2 linked regions of the Mus musculus genome follow. Each later gene encodes a partner of the first gene's protein in a complex. Links are inferred from orthologs where the notes say so. Each region holds a gene or a part of one and is shown in the gene's direction. Other genes may lie near its edges. The genes, in order: Lrrk2 and Rab29.

What was found.
Region 2: the proteins of Lrrk2 (region 1) and Rab29 are in contact, whole or in part, in a cryo-EM structure (PDB 8FO2), measured with the Homo sapiens proteins. The link is inferred for Mus musculus from reciprocal best matches to the Homo sapiens genes LRRK2 and RAB29. Residues at the interface, in NP_940980.4 of Homo sapiens: Arg361, Lys362, Arg399, Met402, Leu403, Leu406, Met407, His408, Leu437, Ser438, Lys439, Gly440, His442, Leu443, Asn444, Glu447; in NP_001129134.1 of Homo sapiens: Leu7, Val42, Asp43, Phe44, Ala45, Leu46, Arg58, Gln60, Trp62, Leu76, Tyr77.

Annotation. Positions count from the first base shown.
Region 1 is NC_000081.6:91,725,192-91,729,004, forward strand, and holds part of Lrrk2 (leucine-rich repeat serine/threonine-protein kinase 2), read left to right. Parts: intron 1-741; coding exon 742-870; intron 871-945; coding exon 946-1,116; intron 1,117-3,724; coding exon 3,725-3,813. UniProt on the Homo sapiens protein: Serine/threonine-protein kinase which phosphorylates a broad range of proteins involved in multiple processes such as neuronal plasticity, innate immunity, autophagy, and vesicle trafficking.
Region 2 is NC_000067.6:131,865,972-131,870,327, forward strand, and holds the start of Rab29 (ras-related protein Rab-7L1), read left to right. Parts: upstream 1-1,305; 5' UTR 1,306-1,439; exon of another isoform or gene 1,440-1,547; 5' UTR 1,548-1,680; coding exon 1,681-1,804; intron 1,805-3,961; coding exon 3,962-4,033; intron 4,034-4,356. UniProt on the Homo sapiens protein: The small GTPases Rab are key regulators in vesicle trafficking. Essential for maintaining the integrity of the endosome-trans-Golgi network structure.

The DNA of each region.
Region 1 (3,813 bases):
TGTGTCTATGCCTAGACAGATTGTTCTGATGTTGCTGTAGAGGGTAGGCCGACCTTTTGAGAATTTACTCACTGTCTTCAGTGCTGAAGCCCTTTGTGGAAAGGACACTTCCTTGAAGCACTGCATAGGCAGAGAGGCCTGGTGGCCTTAGCAAGCTTGAGTCCCTTCTAAGAAGCAATGTTGCTGTTTGTATGAAACCTACCACAAGGACACACCCTTTATTTTGCCTTTGGAGCTTCAGACAATTGTGCTAAACAACAGTGAGATCAGGAGGAGTTGTTTGCCTCTGAGGTAGAAGAAGTGTATGCAGGAGCTAGCATGAAAAGGCGGAAGAAGTGCTGGACTCCATTACTACTGTGCCCTCCTGATGTCAAGATGTCCGCTTTGCATCCAGATGCCACCAGCTGTTCTAATCCCGGGCAACACGTAGCTTTCCTCTGGCATGTCTGGTTTCCCAAAGGAACCTTTAATGGCCAAATTTGAGAGGATTAAGTATTTGAGGATGGCTTGCCAGCTAGCACTTGTTCTCCTTGTCCTTAATATATTTCTTAGTTCCAGGAAAGGGAGACATTTGTAGTTATTTCAAGGTTTACTGCTGTCAAGCTCAAGTTTAAGTCTTTCTCTTTAGTTAAAAGAGCAAGCAGGGTCTTAAATATCATATATGAAGTGCTGTATAACATTGAACTTTTTTTTGCCCATGACTATTACATCATTTACTATTATTTTTGCTTGCACTTTCAGGGATTACAGACAACCCTGTCAATACTTGAGCTGTCAGTATCTTTCTCCAAGCTGCTAGTGCACTATTCCTTTGATGTGGTGATATTTCATCAGATGTCTTCCAGTGTTGTAGAACAAAAGGATGAGCAGGTATGGGTTTGCTGCCTGTGGGCTAAACCCTATCCTTCAGGGGCTGCCTCTCATCTTCATTCCTGTTCTTTCTAGTTCCTCAATCTATGTTGCAAATGCTTTGCAAAAGTGGCCGTGGATGATGAGCTGAAAAACACCATGCTAGAGAGAGCCTGCGATCAGAATAACAGCATCATGGTTGAATGTTTGCTCCTCTTGGGAGCTGATGCCAACCAAGTGAAGGGGGCAACTTCTTTAATCTATCAGGTAAATATTCCAGTCCTTACTTTTGTTTGTCTTCATTATTAGTCTCCTCCCTCCTCTTGGACATTGTTCCCTCATTAAATGGTTTATTGAAACATAATAGGTCACACAATTTGCCTGTTTAAAGTATATAATTCAGGAATATATAATTCTGCAACAGGAGGATCACCAGTGAGTTTGAAGTCAGCTAGAGCAATACACTGACATAGGGAGAGCCCATCTCTGATTGGATGTACAAGGCTATGTGCTTGTGTTTGTGTAGAGTTGAACTGGTATTGCCAGAGTCAATGCTAGAACGTGTTCATCACTGCACAGTTAAATCTCATAAGCAGTGGCCCAGTTCCTATTTCGTTCCCCCGGACATCTGTGTACTTCTGTCTTTGGCTCCGGGTAACCACTTGCTTATTTTGTCTTTATGTATTCATCTATTTGAAAAGTTTAAAATCATGATCTCATGGCTATGTATCTGTGACTGGCAATTTCCTACCGCTTTCCGTGTGATGCCAGCCTCCAGCAGCACCGTTCTATTCTCAGATCTACTCTATCAACTTTGTATTCTAGGATACGTGACATGGCGTGTCATTTTTTGGTTTTGCTTACCTTATTCTCCTCATTTGTTGGTCTGGAGTTTTATCCATGTTGTGATTCCGCGATGAGGTTATGATAAATGAGACTGAGTAGCCTTCCATTTTGTAAATACATTATCTTCCTCCACTCATGTCATAGTGGGCCCCTGGATGGATTACATATCTTTATTAAAGTGAATATTGCTGAACATGGGATTGTAAATGTTTTTCAATATTTCAGTTAAGGTTAGTCACAATGAATGATTAAATATGGGGAAAATTGTCTTCCAGGTGACAGGTGATTTTTTGCTCTGACAGCAAAAAATCAGTAGTTTGAGACCAAGTGGGGTATCTGAGGGAAGGGAGGTCCTGCACCATGAGGAGTTGGTTTTGGATGTGACCTGTGCTACATGGCTGTGATCTGGTGCCTGGTTGTGGGTAGTACGGGTACTGGAAGCATGACTGTGAGAGGTGTGGTGGGGGGGGAAGACCACAGGGGCTGGACATGACCTGTCCCTCTTCACAGCAGCTTGAAGGTCTGGGTTGAAATAGGCATCGCTTGTTCTTGGCCACCTCCACTGTGAAGCATACTGCTTTTCCTTTTCCTCTCAGCCTTTCTCCTCAAACAATGAAAGCAGGTAGCTAATCATCCTCTTCCTCCAGACTCCAATAAAACTATTTCTTAAATTCTTCCCTCTACAGCCAGACCTGAGACAAAAATCGAGATTTACTTCTGCAGGTCCATGAGAGTTTAATGTAAGCTTCCATTATATTTTAGGGTTTAAATTTAAATTCCAAAATATTTTACGTTGTACACTATAATAGAAGTGTACGGTATTCACCTTTGAATTGTCCAGAATGTTGAATTCATGGAATTGTTTTGTGACTCTTACTTCAGAGTCTTAAACAAGCATTTGTTGATAGGGCACCAATAGCTGACCAAGGGACATTTCCCTCTAAGTCTAGCCTGTGAACCAGTGAGCTTACTGGAGTTATTTATAGGAGCATGAGTTACTCAAAGACAGCTGCATTATGGGAAAGCCCACCCCAGCAGGTGTAATGACCCATGAAGTTTGTATCCCTGGAGCTCCCAGCCCAACACAAAGGAAGGTCCATTAGAGTCTCCCCATCCTAGATATTGTCCACTGTTGGGGACAACCTTGGGAAGGGGGCTTTTACAACGTGTAGCTTTCTGAGTTTCTGAGATCCCTAGGTCTCCCAAGGCTGGGCAGCTTCTTGAGTCCCATGAGCCTCCTCTCTTCTTTGAGGAGGGTATGTTTTAACAGGGCATCTACGTAACAAGTATGAGTGTAGTAGATGTCCACAAAAGCGCAGTAGCCTAGGTTAATAAGAAAGGAGTTTTGTGGACCTGTTTAGAAAGAGTTCCTTGGGGGTGATTCCATTCTTCATTGTCAGGATACCAGAAGTCCAGTTCATCAGCAAACACCAAACACGAATTATTAGCGGTGGCGCGATCTTGCAGAAAAAACAAGGCTGTGCAGAAACAATTGGCACGCGTCAGTGGGAGTGGCCTGAATACTAGGAGAAGTTCTTTGGAGCGATTCTCTCTATGAAGTGAAGACCACTGAAGACCAGCAAAACGTTGCAGGGGGTAGCAATGCAAGAGCATCCTCTCACTGTTTGTGAAGTTCTGATTATATTCATTCTAAACATCACACACCCTCTCAAGGGTCTGTTTTCAGCAAACCATCAAATGCCCTCTCACGACAGCTTCCAGAAAAACATCACATCACACCACTGAGTTGTTAAGGAAACCAGAAATGTCCACTTCAAAGGGTGATGAGGTCTCTTCAAGCCATTGACTGGCAGCTGCAAGATTATTAGATTTATGCTAGCCTTGCATCTGTGGCAATAATTTCATTTTATCTTTTATGTCTACTACAGGAATAAGTTTTGCCTTATTTCATTTCATTTCAACCTAATTTTGAGGTATGAAGATTGACCATAGCAAGCTCTGTTTTTCTGTCTAGCCAAAGAGAAGAAATTCAAGTTTTGTGTCCACTTCTTCTTTTTTGTGAAACTAGGTATGTGAGAAAGAGAGCAGTCCTAAATTGGTGGAACTGTTGCTTAATGGTGGTTGTCGTGAACAAGATGTACGGAAGGCCCTGACCGT
Region 2 (4,356 bases), on another chromosome or scaffold:
GGAGTAGAAGCAGAAACAGAAGCAAATGGATCTGGAGCTCAAAGCCAGCCTGGGCTACATAGACTCTGTCGAAAGGAAAAAAGAAAGAAGAGAAGGAGAAGGAGGAGGGAGAGGAGGAGGAGGAGGGCTGGAGATGTAGCTCCGATGGTAGAGGACTTGCCTAGCATGCCTGGATTTACTCTCCAAAACTACAAAACTGGATGTTGTTACAATTGAACCACAAGTTCTATGGTCTACTGTCAGAAGTTGACACCAACTTAGGCTACAGAAAATCCTCTCTCAAACAAAAAACAAACAAACAAACAAACAAACAACAACAAAACAGCCAAAAGGGGAAAAAAGTGAAGCTTATTCTACTAGCCACAATTTCTAGCTAAAGGACAGGCAGGACAGAAAAATTACAGGTAGGAAAAGTAAAAATATTTGCCAATCATTTTATGAGTATTCAGAATTAATAGCAGCAACAAAAGGAAATGTCCTGGTGCTCAAACGCTATGCGTGGCTGGTGTAAGAAATGTGGAAGTGTCAATGAGGAACTATCTCTTGTTTATTCTGCATTGTTATTGCTATAGCTAGTTATTAAGTGTTGTAACTTTTGACATAGATTTTTTTTAAAAGGTTGATCTTTTGGGTCAAATGTCCCCAAATGTGCCTGTTATTGGTCATATGGAAAATTTGACCTTGTCTTTACAAGGCTCGAGATTTGACTCTGTAGTTAAGACAACAGGAAATGGACTTCACTTGGAACTTGGACATTTATCTTTGTGTTATAAAACCTTTAAAATATGGCTAATAAGAAAGGCCGTCTAGAAATCTTTAAAATGTGATTTTAAGAAAACATCTGGGGGAAAGATTTAGACAGGAGAGATCATGGTCTACGTAGTTCAGGGTGACCCAAAGTTGCTTCCAATCTCTTGTCTTGCTCTGGGGAGAGGAAGTGGTGGGGTTAGGGGTCCTTGAACACACTTGTTGCAGAAGACGATGGATGAACTAGGGTTTTATGATCCTCCTATTTCCATCTCCCCAAGGCCTGGATTGCAAACCTGTGCTTCGACGCCAAACTTTAGAATTGTTTTTAAATAGATTTCTAAATTCTTTAAAGTTTGAAAACCTTAAAACTTTTATGTAAATTTGCTCAAGATAGCTAGGAAACTACATTTCCCAAGAGTGTACGTGGCAAGTCGCCACACTGGTCTGGTCGCTTTACCAAGAGGCACACTGGGAAATGTAGTTCTCCGAGCAGTGGGGCTCACAACGTTTTTGACGGAAGACTGGGAAGTGCGCCGCCAGTGGCAGGACGGGGACCGGACAAGGACTCTGCACAACCTCAATTTTGTGTGTGCGGTCCGAGAAAGGGTCTAAGTCATCTGTACTTCTCTAAGCAAGGTGCTGGCCACGGTTCAATGCTGGCGAGCGACTCGGAGGTCCCTGAAAGGAAGGTGCCAATCGCGGAGGGTCGAGCTGGTACCCGCCCCACCCAGGCTGCGGCCGCGCGGGGAGGAAGCGCGCACAGGCCGAGTGCAAAAGTTTCCTTTTCTGCTTTCCAGTCAGAGAAGCTTCAACCAACCGAGGGTGGAGATGCCTGACTTCAATTGGAAGAGAACCCGGGAGCCAAAGGGGTTGAAATAAGCGACTTCCCGGAAAAACAAACTATCAAAAAACCTCTCCCCACCACTAGCCATGGGCAGCCGAGATCACCTGTTTAAAGTGCTGGTGGTGGGGGACGCCGCCGTTGGCAAGACGTCTCTGGTCCAGCGCTACTCCCAGGACAGCTTCAGCAAGCACTACAAGTCCACCGTGGGAGGTGAGCGGTCACGGGTGACTAGGAGCAGGGGTCGAGGCTCGCAGCCGGTAGCCTCTGGGTACCGAGGTTGCCTCTAAGGGGTCCCCAGCCTACCTACAAAGATAGGGCCAAAGTATACAGGTGAGAGATGGTGAAGGGGTCTGAGCCGGGGACTATTCACCGCAGAGAGCAGAGCCCTCCCGCAGCCATGCGCTGCCCAGAGCAACTTCTCCAGTCAGCAAAGTCAGCTGAGTCCCGGTTCAAGTGCAGGCTGGGGCAGTTACCCTGCTTCCTACCAGCATCCGACGGGTGTTGAGGAAAGAACCCCGTTACCTTAGGAGGAAAGCCCAGGAGCTAAGCAGTCAGAGGTGTGGGGAAGACTGGAGGACAGATTCCGGTCAGGTCTGATGAGCCCTATGGTGTCATTAGTGAACTGAGTGGGAAATGTGAGGAATTCACGAAAGAATGTGAAATACCCTCGAGTGGCCTGTCGTCTTCTCTTGCACTGGGGAAGGCAGGGAGGAAGAGAGAAAGAAGCACTAAAAGTAAATTCATTTCTTTCCCAGTGTGGCCTTTGGACTCTGCTGAACTGTCCACCTGTCGGTCTGTCTACCCCAAACACACAGACACAGACACAGATACACACAGACACACACACACCTCCACCACCACCACAAGGAGAAGGTAGTTAACAAGGTTACAGTAATGTGAAAGAATAAAATTACATTTGTTTTTTTTATTTTGTTTTGTTTGAGACAGGGTTTCTCTGTATAGCCCTGGCTGTCCTGGAACTCACTCTGTAGACCAGGCTGGCCTTGAACTCAGAAATCTGCCTGCCTCTGCCTCCCAAGTGCTGGGATTAAAGGCATGCGCCACCACGCCCAGCACATAAAATTACATTTGTACCAACACAGATTTACATGTGAAAGTTTTTTTATTAACTCTTTTCTTTGAAATGAAAACTTTATAGAATATTTCAAAAACTGTTTCCTGACTACTTTGCCCACCACTCCTAAATACAAGTCCTTATTTCATGGATTTTGGGTTAAAAATGTCCTGTGAATTAATTTTTACCAGTGGACTGTTTTCCGACAGTATGAACATACTGATTCTGGCAAGTTTTGTTTGTTTTTCCCAATGTTTATTATAAATTCTCCCTCGTTTTCACTTCTGTCACAGATGTAGAAGAAAGAATATGTTTCTGAACTGAAATTATTCTGTGTTTCTCCTTAACAAGTAGCTTTTCCAGCATAGTGTGGTTGTCTCTACCTTTAATTCTAGCATTCAAGAGGTTGAGGCAGGAGGATCTCAAGTTGGAGCTAGGCTCTACTATCCGACTTTGGGAGGTTCCCCTGGAATAGCTGTTCAGTCCAACCTCATGGAGTTTCAGCATCTGCAGACCCGTGGGGGATTCAGCACAGCTCTTAAGCAGCATCCATGTCTCAACCTCTGCCATCTTGTTCATTTAACCAGTACCTGCTGGACATATACCATAGCCTTAAGGAGGATACAGAGGTTTTCACTGTATTTTCTCATAATACTGTTTGATTAGATACTAACAGTGAAGTTAAGATGGAAGATACAAAGCTAACCACCTTACCTTCCTTTCCTCCATCTCCCCCACCATTCTTTCCTTGAGAACCCCCCACTTAAAAAACATCCCAGAAACCATTTAACCTGAGAACAGGAATAATGGTCATAACCATGCCCATAACTTTCTTGATCCTAGCCAAGGAGATAATCAGTGTGAAATAATTTGATCTGAGAGAGGAGAAAACACTGAAGACCGTTTGGAGAGTACGGATTATGTGTCCCAACACAAATGTACCATGGGGGCTCCTCTCCATCGCCAGAAGGTTTAAACCTAATTGGAGTGTTGTGATCCTGGGGTTGTCACTGTATATTTATTTGATCTGAGCTTGTGCTAGGACTAAAAAAAAAAAAAAAAAAAAAAAAAAAAAAAAAAAAAAACCATTTACTGTGTGTGTGTGTGTGTGTGTGTGTGTGTGTGGACATGTATTCTGTGACATACTTGTGGAAGTCAGAAGCCAGTTTATAGGCTTGGGCTATAGGGATTTAACTTGGGTTGTCAGGGTTAGCCACAAATGCCTTCATCTCACTCTCAGAACCATCGTAAAGACATGTTTTTGTTAAAGTACAATATTCATATATTTTCAGTGGATTTTGCTCTCAAGGTTCTCCAGTGGTCTGACTCAGAGATGGTGCGGCTGCAGCTCTGGGATATTGCAGGTAAAATGGGAAAACCAGGCAGTAACAAGGGGAGAAATTATTTACCCAGCAAGCTGTTTGGGGGGCGGGGGGAGGGGGGAATGAATATGGAATGGCAAAGCTGACTTTTTTTCCCCCTGAAGCTACAAGTTTGAGCTGCTCTGAGCTTTTGGGATGATTTTGGAGACATATTGCTCCAAAGACAAAGAGACATAGTGCCATCTGTGCGTGGGTGGAAAGCCTCTAAGGTGGTGGATGACCCAGAGGTGGATGTCCCCCAGTGGCAGAGGAGGCGCCAGATCTTCAGCCGACTTTACTGAGAAACAAGATCTCCAGCAAATAGA